Rattus norvegicus: one gene and its partners. The protein of the gene in region 2 interacts with the protein of the main gene of each other region in a pairwise test. Links are inferred from orthologs where the notes say so. Each region holds a gene or a part of one and is shown on either strand. Other genes may lie near its edges.

What was found.
Region 1: the proteins of Crx (region 2) and Banp interact in binary tests that used the Homo sapiens proteins (3 or more experiments, as listed by UniProt). The two-hybrid records come from large-scale screens. The link is inferred for Rattus norvegicus from reciprocal best matches to the Homo sapiens genes CRX and BANP.
Region 3: the proteins of Crx (region 2) and Gcm2 interact in binary tests that used the Homo sapiens proteins (3 or more experiments, as listed by UniProt). The link is inferred for Rattus norvegicus from reciprocal best matches to the Homo sapiens genes CRX and GCM2.

Annotation. Positions count from the first base shown.
Region 1 is NC_086037.1:66,915,275-66,919,260, forward strand, and holds the start of Banp (protein BANP), read left to right. Parts: upstream 1-1,186; 5' UTR 1,187-1,247; exon of another isoform or gene 1,248-1,268; intron 1,269-1,561; exon of another isoform or gene 1,562-1,699; intron 1,700-1,707; exon of another isoform or gene 1,708-1,967; intron 1,968-3,986. UniProt on the Homo sapiens protein: Controls V(D)J recombination during T-cell development by repressing T-cell receptor (TCR) beta enhancer function. Binds to scaffold/matrix attachment region beta (S/MARbeta), an ATC-rich DNA sequence located upstream of the TCR beta enhancer.
Region 2 is NC_086019.1:85,679,053-85,683,260, reverse strand, and holds the start of Crx (cone-rod homeobox protein), read left to right. Parts: upstream 1-1,408; 5' UTR 1,409-1,472; intron 1,473-4,208. UniProt on the Homo sapiens protein: Transcription factor that binds and transactivates the sequence 5'-TAATC[CA]-3' which is found upstream of several photoreceptor-specific genes, including the opsin genes.
Region 3 is NC_086035.1:23,857,101-23,861,178, reverse strand, and holds the start of Gcm2 (chorion-specific transcription factor GCMb), read right to left. Parts: upstream 2,801-4,078; 5' UTR 2,621-2,800; coding exon 2,531-2,620; intron 1-2,530. UniProt on the Homo sapiens protein: Transcription factor that binds specific sequences on gene promoters and activate their transcription. Through the regulation of gene transcription, may play a role in parathyroid gland development.

The DNA of each region.
Region 1 (3,986 bases), on a different chromosome or scaffold from region 2:
TTTCAACGGATTTTTTTTTCTCTCTCCGCATCTCCCCACCCCCCTCCGGTCCCCACTTGCATTCAACATTAAAATTCTAAGACTTCACACAGATGCCCAAAGCCCGCCCTTCTGGCTCCAGCTGCTGCCTCTCCCAGCAATTTCTGTCTCTTCGGACTTCATCCTCATCTCTGTAAATGATAGGTCTCATTTTAACAGCACAGTTCTAGGTTGAAATCTTCAAGACACTCCTGAGGAAAAGTAATCCCTTGACAGAGCACAATGGTTTAGAAGGGCTGTCCCTAGGTCGCCCAGCTGGTAGCTGCACTGAGTCATGGCTTTATTATCGGCACGGGGAGGGGACAGGAAACTTAAAGTATTTTCTTTTTAAGTTAAAATAGCTCCTGGATCCTGGTTTGTGGGAATGCTCACTACGAACATGCAGAAGGAGCCAGCCTGGAAAGGAATATGGACAACAGACTAGGTTCAGAGACCGCCATTAGTGGCATTTCTGGGAACAAATGCACATCGATGCTTCATAGCTCTTATTGCATGATAATGTAAGCATGTCACATATAATCTCTATTACAGTGACAGTGTCCCCGAGACCTGCTTATCCTTAAGGAAGTCAGGCAACTTGCGAGACGATGCCACTGAATGAGTCCGGAACGTCCGAGATTGATCCAGGCCTAGTAGGTAGGACCAGTTTGGGAGCGTACAGCCCATTTGAGCTGCTGTCACTACAAGTCCCAGCAGTCCTCAGGGCAGGGAAGGCATGTGGCTACCAGAATCAGGATGGACTACAAATCCCAGCAGGCAAGTCACAGTCGCTGAGACTACCAGTCCCAGAATGCATCGTGTCCTACACAGCGTACTCTGGGATTTGTAGTCATCAGGGCAGCGTTAGTGTCCGTTCACACCCGTCAAAGAGGACGTACATTCCTCAGATTGCCCACTGGAGTATTTACTGCTTTAGCAAGTAACACAGACATGAGATGGGGAAGTAAGGGCCTATTGAGTCAACTCTTGGTACACGGGAGGACAACTGCGCATGTTCACTGGAGTCCGTCGGCGAAAGCGCGCGCAAGAGGCGCCCAGCGCAGGCTCCGCCCCCTGCCCGACTGGCCCCTCCCTGGAGCCCCGAGCTCAGGGAGCCTGCGCTGAGGGCGCGGCGCAGGCTGTGGGGAGGTGCTCGCAGCGCCTGCGCAGAGCTGCTGCTTCTCTCGCGAGGACGGACGCCATTATCGCATCTCCCCGACAAACACCACGAGAATTCCGCAGCCCACACGGTAATTGCAGCTCCCGCAGCCGGTCGCGCCTCCACTCCCCCTTCCCGCGGGGCGAGAGCGAGAGCGAGAGCGAGATCTCCGTCCGCCCCCGCCCCGCCCCGCCGCCAACCGTTGCCAACGGCCGCGGGCCGCACGCCGGGCTGGGCGGGGGCCAGCGGGCCGCGGAATGTCCGCGCGCCGCCTCCGCCCGCCGGGGCTGCGGGCTCCCGGCTGGGCGTGTGGGGTCCGGGGAGCGAACGAGCGGGCGAGGCCCGACGGCCGCGCTCGCGTTCGGCTCCGGAGCCTCGGCGCCTCCCGGGCCCGCGCCCGGCGCCCCTGTCACGGCCGCCCAGTCTGTCAGTGCAGGGCCTCGCGCGGTGCTCCCGGGTCCTGCGCGCCGCCCTGCCGCCTAGGTGGCCCCATCTCCCGGCAGTTCTTGGCGCTCTGCCCCGGTAGGGTGGCTTCGCCCTGGCTGGCGCATCCGCCTCTGCTCTGCTCTCTGTTTACATCGGGGCTGATAACTGGTGCTCGCTTCCCCACCTAGCGTCATGTCCCCGTCCCGCACAGCCTTGCTTTTATCCCTTGTTGTTTGTAGTGGCCTTTGTTTCTCTGCTCCTGGTGACAATGTAACTTCTCGAAGATAGTGTTAAATCTTCGACTTCACTCCACCTCCTCTCTGCCTTTTTCTAATCTGGGGTAGTGACTTTTAGGCCCGTCCAGGTAGGTCCAGCTGTCTTTCTTTGCACGCCTGGTTAGTTCAGGACACAGTGTTTCAGTCTGCTTTCTTCTCAGTCCTTAGGGAGCTTCTGCCAAGTACTTCCTTTCTGGTAACTGTTTCCTCCCTGGAAGGTTTTAAGGTCTCCTTGGCATTGGAACAGTTTTACAGTTCACAGGTATGCTCAGTAGGTGTGTCCTTGAGCTCTGGGAGATTTTCCCAAGAGAATTTGTCCCCCCACCCCGATTTTCTTTTTTCAGGGATTCCTGCCATGTGCGACACACATTTGGGTACACTACTTGAGTTTCTTCATCTTTCTATTCCAGGAAAGAGCTTCAGTTTATCTTTAAGCCCTAATATTTTAAGTTTTGTTCTGTGCATTGGCCCAGGACTTTAATGCCAGCACTTAGGAGACAGAGGCAGGTGGATCTTTGCAAGTTTGAGGCCAACCTCGTTTACATAGTGAGACCCAATGGTGGGGGAGGGGGAGTGGTGTATCCATAATCAAAATTGAAGTTTCTGGGGTTGGGGATTTAGCTCAGTGGTAGAGTGCTTGCTAGGGTTCGGTCCCCAGCTCCGAGAAAAAAAAAAAAAAAAGACAAAATTGAAGTTTCTGAGCAGAGCGCAATGGCACACACTTTTAGTCCCAGCACTTGGGAGGCAAATGCAGGCTGATCTCTTAAGTCTGAGACCAGCCTGGTCTACAGACTGAGTTCACAGCCAGAGCTACACAGAGAAAAGCGAAACAACAAAAAAAAAAAAAATTTTTTTTTCCTGAATGTATTTGTTTTTTTCCTTTTATTCAGTAGTTTGTTTCATCAATACGTTTTCTCCTTTGGGCTGAGGAAACTATTAGGGGTTCTTTTCAGTTCTCTGATTTCTTATTTAGTATCACTTTTGAGGAGTGGATGGTAAGTGTTAGCTTCTTGCTTTGGATGGCAGGGCCTCCACTAGTGCTAATTATAATTGCTTAAACTTAGACCTTAAGGTAAGAGGAAACTGGCAGGGGACCCAGGGTCTGTGGAGAAGGTTTTTAAAATGGTTTTTTCCCACTAGTATCTGCCAGAGCTTCTTACCTAGAGACTTGGAGGAGCACATAGCAGACACCTTCTATCTGGGCTGTTTATCTGTCTTCAAGGGTCTCCCTTTGCTCGGAAGCTGCTGTGCTTGGCTCTGAGGTGGCTGTGGAGACTGCCCCTGATGAGGCCGGGAGCCCCACTCCTGTGTTCCCCAAGCTGTCTAGATGAGCTCCTCTGTCAGGAACTGAAGGCTTGCTGTGTACTGTTTTCTTGTGAGTTTATTGTACTCTCGGAAGTATTTTGATGGGGTAAGCGGAGATTGTTTTCAAGGCCACTTACCTGGAACAGGAATTTAATTTTAGAGCCTGTTGTCTTCAGATAATTTCTCTCCTTACATTTTTGGGTTTTGTAATGGATGTGTGCCAGATCATGGTCTCTGTGGTTGCCTCCAGTTGAATGGATGGTTCTTCCGCTCTGCTATCTTGGTAGGGCACCAGGATGCAGGAGACTGGTCAGACACTGAGATTAGGCCCTTCAGTTTAGCTGCTTCACTGTCTAGTTGGGTTAGTGCAAGCAGCTAGCATATCATGGTTCACTGATCAGAGGTGAGCAGTGCAGTGTGTGCTGTACCCATAGCACAGGGATAGCAAGGCCAAGCATTGGGCTGGTACACTTGCAAGTTTTGCTTAGTGAAGTAGGCTGCATCCGCCAGGGCCTTGCAGCAGAGTCCACAGCAACCCACACACTGGTGAGCACTTAGCCCACCTGTGATTAAGGATTTCAGAGAGACTACAGCTGCCTTCCTCTTCCCCTTCATCATATCTAACAGCAGGGCTACCCAGATTACAGACCTTACACCCACTGACATCTTTTGTTTGCTTTGTTTCAGGATCTAATTCCCGACTCCTCACTGTAGTTGTCATGTCTTCTCCAGTCTGCTCTTTCCATTATCCCAAAGCATTCAGTGTTTATAAGTCTTGGCAGGAAAAAGTGCTCTCTCTGGAA
Region 2 (4,208 bases):
GAGGCAGGAAGGGGAGGTGATTGGGGAGAAGGAACACCCTTACACAAGAAGGGGAGGGAGATGGGATAGAGGGCTTATGGATGGGAAACCGAGAGAGGGAATAACATTTGAAATGTAAATAAAAAATATCCAATAAAAAGCAAAACAACGGGCTGGAGAGATGGCTCAGTGGTTAAGAGCACTGACTGCTCTTCCAGAGGTCCTGAGTTCAAATCCCAGCAACCACATGGTGGCTCACAACCATCTGTAATGGGATCTGATGCCCTCTTCTGGTGTCTGAAGACAGCTACAATGTACTCATATATAAAAAGTAAATAAATCGGGGCTGGGGATTTAGCTCAGTGGTAGAGCACTTGCCTAGCAAGCGCAAGGCCCTGGGTTCGGTCCCCAGCTCCGGAAAAAAAAAAAAAGCAAAACAACAACAACAAAACCCAAATCTAAACAAAATAGACACAGAGAGACAGAGTCAGACACACAGAAACACTCAGAGATAAAAAGAGAGGAAGAGAGACAGGGAGGACAAGAACCAGAAGCAGAGTTTCAGAGAGACAGCCAGAGACAAGGATTAGAGTCTAGCAGAGACACAGGTGGAGATTGACAGAGACAGCCAGAGAGAGATTTAGAGACAGAGAGTCTAACAGAGACATAGAAACCCAGGGAGAGGCATAGACAGAGACACAAAGAAACTCTGAGAGACAGGGTCTGAGCTAGTGATGAAGATACAGAGGCAGAGATTAGAGGCAATTGAGAAGATACAAAGAGAGCAGTGGAGAGACTGCAGAGATATAGAGAGATGGAGTTGGAAACTGAGGGAGGGGAGGAAGGAGGGAGAGAGATGGAGAACACAGAGAAAGAGAGCCTGAGGTCAAAAGAAGGAGAACCATCAGGAACTACACATGTGAACTAGTTCACTCATCCAGAGTACAGATCTCTTCCCAGTTATTCTGGCTGTGTCAGGAGATTTACAAGTTCAACGCTAGCGTGGGCCACAAAGAACAACCCGGAAAGCCCTGTGCCTTTCTCTTCCCAGTCTCTCAGGAGCACTGTACACATTTCTCGGTGCTTTTGAAGACATTTCTTTCCAGATAATAGCTGATGCTGGAGGGACACCAGTTAGACCTAAGGAAAGACTTCCCCAGGAGTGGGGACTCCTGGTTGCCGGCAGGAGTTGGGCCTTCCTTCCCTCCCTTCCTCATCAACCCTAATTGCCAAGATGTCACTGTGGGGGTGGTGGCGGTGGATTAAGCAGACGGTGCCCTTCCCCCAGCCAATGTCACCTCCTGTTGCCCAGTCGGTCCCCCACCTTCCCTGGGATTACCCTTCGAGATCCAGGCCACAATAGATGACATCACTCTCAGCTCAGGCTTAAAGTCACCCCATGTGAGGGGACCTATTTCCTCTAGCCTCTGCTGTCTGATGACACCATCCAGGACCTGGGCATCCAGGAGAGCCCCCATTTCTTCTTTCCAAAGGTGAGTCTTTGCAGGAGAGGCTGAGTGGACCAGGAAGAGAGAGAGAGGGGGTGGGTGGGGGAGAGAGAGTGAGAACGAGAGAGCGAGAGAGAGCAAGAGAGCGAGAGAGCGAGAGAGCGAGAGAGAGGAGATTTTATTCTCACTCGTCCATGTTTTCTGGGCTTGGTATAGTTTGACACAAAGATGGATCTGTGATGCTTTCTGAATAAATTAAGGTAGGGTAGAGATTCCAGCAGGTGTTCAGGGAAACAGGCCACTTAGGACCATGGTTGGAGGGAGTTCAGAGGTGGAATGCACACATCCGTGTATGTGAGCATGTTTGTATGTTTGTGTGTGTATGTATGTATGTATGTATGTATGTATGTATGTATGTGTATATGTATGTATGTGTACAGCGTGTGTAAGTGTGTGCGTCCATGTAAGAGAGCATCTGTGGAGGACAGAGATAGACATATTGGGTGTCTTCCTAAATACTTCCCGTTTGCTATTTTTTCCTAGAACTCTCTATGTAGACCAGGCTGGCCTTGATCTGATGGATCTTCCTGACCCTGCCATCCAAGTACTTAAGGTTAAAGGTGTTCACCACCACACTCAGCCTATCTCAGACAATGTCTTTTACTGAACTTGGATCTCCCTTCTGAGCTGAGGCTGGCTGGACAGTGAGCCCTGTGTATCTGTTTGTCCCTGTTTCCCCAGCGCTGGGGTTATAGTGTGCCCAGCTTTTATCTGGATGCTGGGGATCTGAACTCAGATCCTTACATATGCACAGAAGGTGCTTTATGTACTAAGCCATCTCCCCACTCCCCCGCAACCTTTTAAATTTTATTTATTTATTTATTGAGAGGAAGTCTTATGGAGCATCGGGTGGTCTTGAACTTGTTCTGTAATAGAGGCTGGTCCTGAACTCCTGATCTTTGTACACCACTACTCCCACTTGTATTGTCTTTAACTCTTTGGGATTTTTCTTCTCTGTTTGTAAGGATATATATATATATATATATATATATATATATATATATATATATTATATATTATATAATATATACATTATATATCCTGTTGAGGCCAATGTGGCTAATTTCTGTTCAATGCCAGCTCAACATAGTAAACTGGAATTCTTTCTCTAAAGTTGAGAGCAGGGCTAATGTTTCTAAGAACTCAAGTTATAGATGTTGAGTTTTGAAGGGAAACACCAATATTACTAATTTTTTTGCCTCAATGACTGTAGAAACTTTTCTAGGGCCTGTGGTCATCCAAATGAAATTATAGAGACATGTGGCAGGGCATAGTGGTGTATGCCTTCAATCCTAGCATTCAGGAGGTAGAGGCAAGCAGATCTGTCAGCTTGAGGTCAGCCTGATCTACAGAGTAAGTTTTAGGTTAGCTAGGACTTCATAAACTTTATATCAAAGGGAGACCTTGTCTTAAAAAAAAATATGGGGAGTTGGATGGCTCAGTGGTTACGAGTACTGGCTGCTCTTCAGGAGGATTGGGGTTTTGATTCCAAGCACCTACATGGTGGCTCACAGCTGTTTGTAATTACAGTTCCAGGGTACTTTTCTGGCTTCTTCTGATGGTACCAGGTGTGTTTGTGTTCATAGAAATACATGCAGACAAAACACCCATACACATAATATTAAACAAAACACTAACACAATGAAAGTAAAAAAAAAAATCCTAGGAACACCAAAGTTCGATATTACTGCTGCATATTTCTCTCTCTCTCTCTCTCTCTCTCTCTCTCTCTCTTGTCACAGTCTTTTATAGCACATGCTGGCCTTGGATTTGCTATATAGCTGAGGATGACCTTGAACTTTTGATCCTTCTACTTCTACCTACAGAGTCCTAGGATTACAGGTGTGAGACTCATGTTACTGTTTCTTCTCGTGTGTGTGTATGTGTATGTGTGTAATATATGCATGGAAGTGTGTGTATCTATTTGAATATGCCTGCATATTTGGAGGCCAGAGGATAACATCAACGTTTTTTCTTCTATTCCTCCTCTGCCTTATTGCTTTGAGACAAGGTCTCTCAGTGAACTAGGCACAGGGCATTTTGACAAGGCTGGCTGCATAGCTAGCTCTTGAGACCCACCTGTTTCTACCCTTCTTAAGGCTATAGTTCCAGGCATACAAAGCCATGTCTGGCTTTTTACATGGTAGCTACAAATGTAAACACAGGTTCTCATGCTTTTGCACTTAGCACTCTTCTCTACTTAACCATTTCTACCATGCCCACCCCACCTCACTTTTGAGACAAGGGCTCATGTATCCCAGGGTAGCCTCTAACATGATAAGTAGCCTAGAATGTCATTGACCGCCCCCAGCCTCCATCATCTGAATTTTAGAATTACCGGTGTGTGCCACCATACCCAGTTTATGTGATATTGGGGATTGAACCCAGGGGCTTAATACATTCGAGGCAAGTACTGTAACCAGCTGACCTATACCCCAAGCTTCCCATTGTCATTGTTAGACAGAGTGTGCTTATGAATCCCAGGTTGGCTTTGAATTTGGATCAATCCTCCTGCCTCAGGCTATGAGTGGCATATGTGAGCAAGCCTCCACACCCAGATAGAGGGTGAGAAGGAGGGGCTGGAGAGATGGCCCAGTGGTTAAGAACACTGACTGCTTTCCTTGAGGTCCTGAGTTCAATTCCCAGCCATCACATCTGTAATGAGATTTGATGCTCTCTTCTGGTGTGTCTGAAGACAGCTGGCTGCAGTGCACTCCTATA
Region 3 (4,078 bases), on a different chromosome or scaffold from region 2:
GCTGGAGTAACACTTTTTACATTTTTCTCCCAGTTGAATGAAATTCGGGGACGTTTTTCTCATTCGTCTAACCGCTGATCATGTAAAGGGAGGCAAAAACTTACAATTGACCAGCTGCCCTAAAAATAAAAGCATTCTATGCTTGCGAGCCAATAGATTCAAAGGTCAGTGTGCTAAAATAAATAAATAAATAAATAAATAAATAAATACAAAAAATCGGTCAACTCTGCTTCCACTTAGCAGTTGAAAGATTTATTTCATGCTTGTTCCTAATTGTGTGTGTGCATCTGCGTGTGGTATGCATACCTGAAATGAGACTTTATTTGCTCTCTCTAATGTGTTGGCAGCATGCATGTTGGCAGCCACAGGCTTGCACATACACACACACACACACACACACATGTGCACACACATGCGCACGCACGCATACATGAATGCAGCCATGTGTACACATGCTCACACATTACGAGATGACAGTTTATCTGAGGTAAATTTGAGATCGTTATCTAGGTTTATCGTTTGATGATAGGACAGCAGCCCAAGACTAACAAAGGTTCAAGGACACTCACAAGGACACATAGCCAGTTTACCTCACTTGCCTAATTAGTTAATTAGTTAGAAGAGCTAGCTACAGTGAGTGAGTGTGTGTGTGTGTGTGTGTGTCTCGTATGCATACCTGAAAGGAGGTTTCATTTGCTCTCACGTGTTGATATCACACACACACACACACACACACACAAGAGAGAGAGAGAGAGAGAGAGAGAGAGAGAGAGAAAAGAGAGCACGAGATAGATAGTTTTGTTATTGCTGTTTATGTCTCTGCTCCTATCCTTTCTCACGTGTTAGATATACTCCTCATTATGGCTTAGCAGGTAAAGGCATGGCCTTGCAAATTTGACCATCTGAGTTAAATCTCAAATTCTGTGGCTGAAAGAGAGAACGGACTCATGAAAGCTGTCCTGTGACCTCCACCCATGCCTCATGGCATGCACATGCCTCAAAGGAAAACTAATTTCTGTTTATCAGGAAGTCTACACATCTTTGAGGCCATGTCTTTAGTGTATCGTTTGGATCTGATTCTTTCTCAAAGTACAAGATTGGGTTGTTTCCTCTGAGATTTACAGTGGCAGAAGTCAGCGGTAATGAGACATGTGTACTGGGATCTCTTTTCAGAGCAGTCATTCTGGAAGATGGTGAAGGAGATGGGCTGAGCACGAGCAAGTGAGTCAAGCTCCATACACACATGTGCACTAACAAAACGCTGACCTCTGCCAGAGGCGCCATATCCCGCCACAGATCTCTCATCTCTGAGTATTATCTGACACAGCACAGAGGCCAAATAAATGTCAAGTGTCAAACCCTTCAAAAAAAATGTCAAAGGACTTTACTGGAAGCCCACTTTACAAATGCTAGGAAAGCAGTTCTTCTCCAACACTACGTTCATGTATGCATTTGCCTAACACCACATACACACCACACTCCACACCACACACACACATACCACATACACCATACACACATCCCACATATACCACACATACATCCCACATACAACCATCCACATACACACCACACATATACACACCATACTACACACATATACACACCACCCACACCACACACATACTACACAACACAACACACACACATATACCACATCTACACATCCCACATATACCATACCCACACCCATATACACCCATACACACACACACACACACACACACACACACACACACACACACACTTTTCCATCATTAGTCTTGATCTAAACATAAATTGCCAGGTTCATTCCTGTACTTGGCTCTGACAATGGAAAGACAACTTTACCCCGAAAGGGCAACCCTTCCACTGCTAGGGACCTGCGAGTGGAGCAAGGTGGCTTCGGCAGCCGGACTGGGATCTTCTCAAGCAGGTGCTGGACTTTCAGGCTGGACATGTGTTTTAGATTCAGTCACCTCCCAGTGCCTGGCTTGGCCATGTGAGAATTAGTGGTATTTACATTTCTCCAAAACTTTCTTTTGAACTTTGAGTAAGTGAGTAAGGAGTGAGGCTTTTTGTTGCTCTGTTTTAAATGAGGCTTTGCTAAGTAGCTTTGACTGGCCTTGAATTTGTACCAATCCCAAGTCTCCAGAGAAAGAGGGGGGGGGGGAGAGAGAGAGAGAGAGAGAGAGAGAGAGAGAGAGAGAGAGAGAGAGAGAGACTGACTCAGTTTCTGCCTTGGTTGAGAGAATAGGGAGTCTGGCTGACGACTTGGGAACCTAAGTCTGTATCGCTGTTGCTATCAGTGTGTTTCAGAGAATCTCAGGTAAATCGGTAAATCACTCTAAGAAGACACACCAATAAACTGAACTCTGCTCTCTCTAGAGTCCAACTTCCCTATGTATCCAAAGATCTGTGTGTGAGTGTGTGTGTGTGTGTGTGTGTGTGTGTGTGTGTGTGTGTGTGTAGTCTCAGCATGAGTTGTCTTGTGGTTTCCCCTTTGGCTGGACAGTGCCACATTTTACCCAAAGTGGAGTGTCTTCCTCACCTGAGGCATCTGCGGGTCATTGATGTCCCATGTGAGTTTCATCCCGTAGGAAAGCACAGGATCGGGGTCCTGCATGCTGTCTGCTGGCATCTGGAGGGGCCTGAAAGAGAAATAAAAGCAAGGAGCGCACAGGGTGACTTTTTCCCAAATGAGATGTAGGGCGAGAGGTGAGTGAAAGGAGGAGGAGGAAGAGGAGGGAGGGGACAGAGACAGAGACAGAGGGAGACAGAAAGAGAGACACACAGACACAGAGAGAAACAGAGAGATGCAAAGATGGAGTTAGGGAGACAGAGAGAGAAAGAGATAGACAGACAGACACAGATACACACTGACACACCACCCACACACAGAGACAGAGACAGAGACAGAGAAGGAAACAGAAAGACATACAAACACACGCGCGCACACACACGCAGAGAAACAGAATGAGACAAAGACAGAGAAGGAGAGGGAAAGGGAGAAGGAGAGGGAGAGGGAGAGGGGGAGAGGGAGAGGGAGAGAGAGAGAGAGAGAGAGAGAGAGAGAGAGAGAGAGAGAGAGAGAGAGGGGCCCTCCCATTGGCTGAGGTGCTGAAATGTATCCCTCTGAAGAGAAACAGGTTTGTAGAGACACACCCGGAACCTCTGCTTCTGTCCGGCTACCTCTCTTGCACCAGCCTCCAGCAGGCTTCTCTACCTAGCAGAGGCCTGGAATGCGGGGGTACTTAAAGTAAGTCACTGAGTAAAGGGAATTGAAGTTAAGCAGTCGTCAGTGGGGAGCAAGTAGGACCGTTTCATTTATGTGAAAACCAAACCCAATTGTCAACCTCTGTTGGTTCTCCAAAGGGCTTAGGTTGAGGCTCTGGAAGCAAAGTTTTCCAGCAGTCTCCTCAGAGTTAGTGCTAGACGGGAAGACTGAGGAAAACTGGAGAGCCAGCAGCAGGCACCTCCAGCCTTGGCACCTCCTCAGTTCTCTTGGGTCCTGCAGTCGTTGTTGCTCTGTTCCCAAGTCTGTGCTCTGTGGTTTGGTCAGAGAATAAGCCTAGCATTCCAGTAAGTTCTCAAACCTAAACACACCGTAGCTTGGGACATACCTGATCACCGAGAAAAGTCCTGGGAAGTAAATCTGGAGGATGGAGCCAGATGACCCTGAGATAGATGGAGAGGGAGAGAGAACTTAAACGGTACCTGGAGCTATAGTCCAAAAGAACTGCCTCCCTCTTTGTGCTTCCCCTCCTCTCCTCTCCTCTCCTCTCCTCTCCTCTCCTCTCCTCTCCTCCCCTCCCCTCCCCTCCCCTCCCCTCCCCTCCCCTCCCCTCCCCTCCCCTCCCCTCCCCTCCCCTCTCCTCTCCTCTCCTCCCCTCCCCTCTTCTTCTTCTTCCTCCTCCTCCTCTTCCTCCTCCTCCTCCTCTCTCCCTCCCCCTCCTCTCTCCCTCCCCCTTTCTCTCCCTCTCCCTCTCCCTCTCCTTCTCCCTCCATAGCTAAAGAAAACGAGACCAGGATTTTTGTGAGCTCTCATTAACCACTCGGAAGAACACCCACGTCAAAGCAGAACGTATTGCTGGTGTTG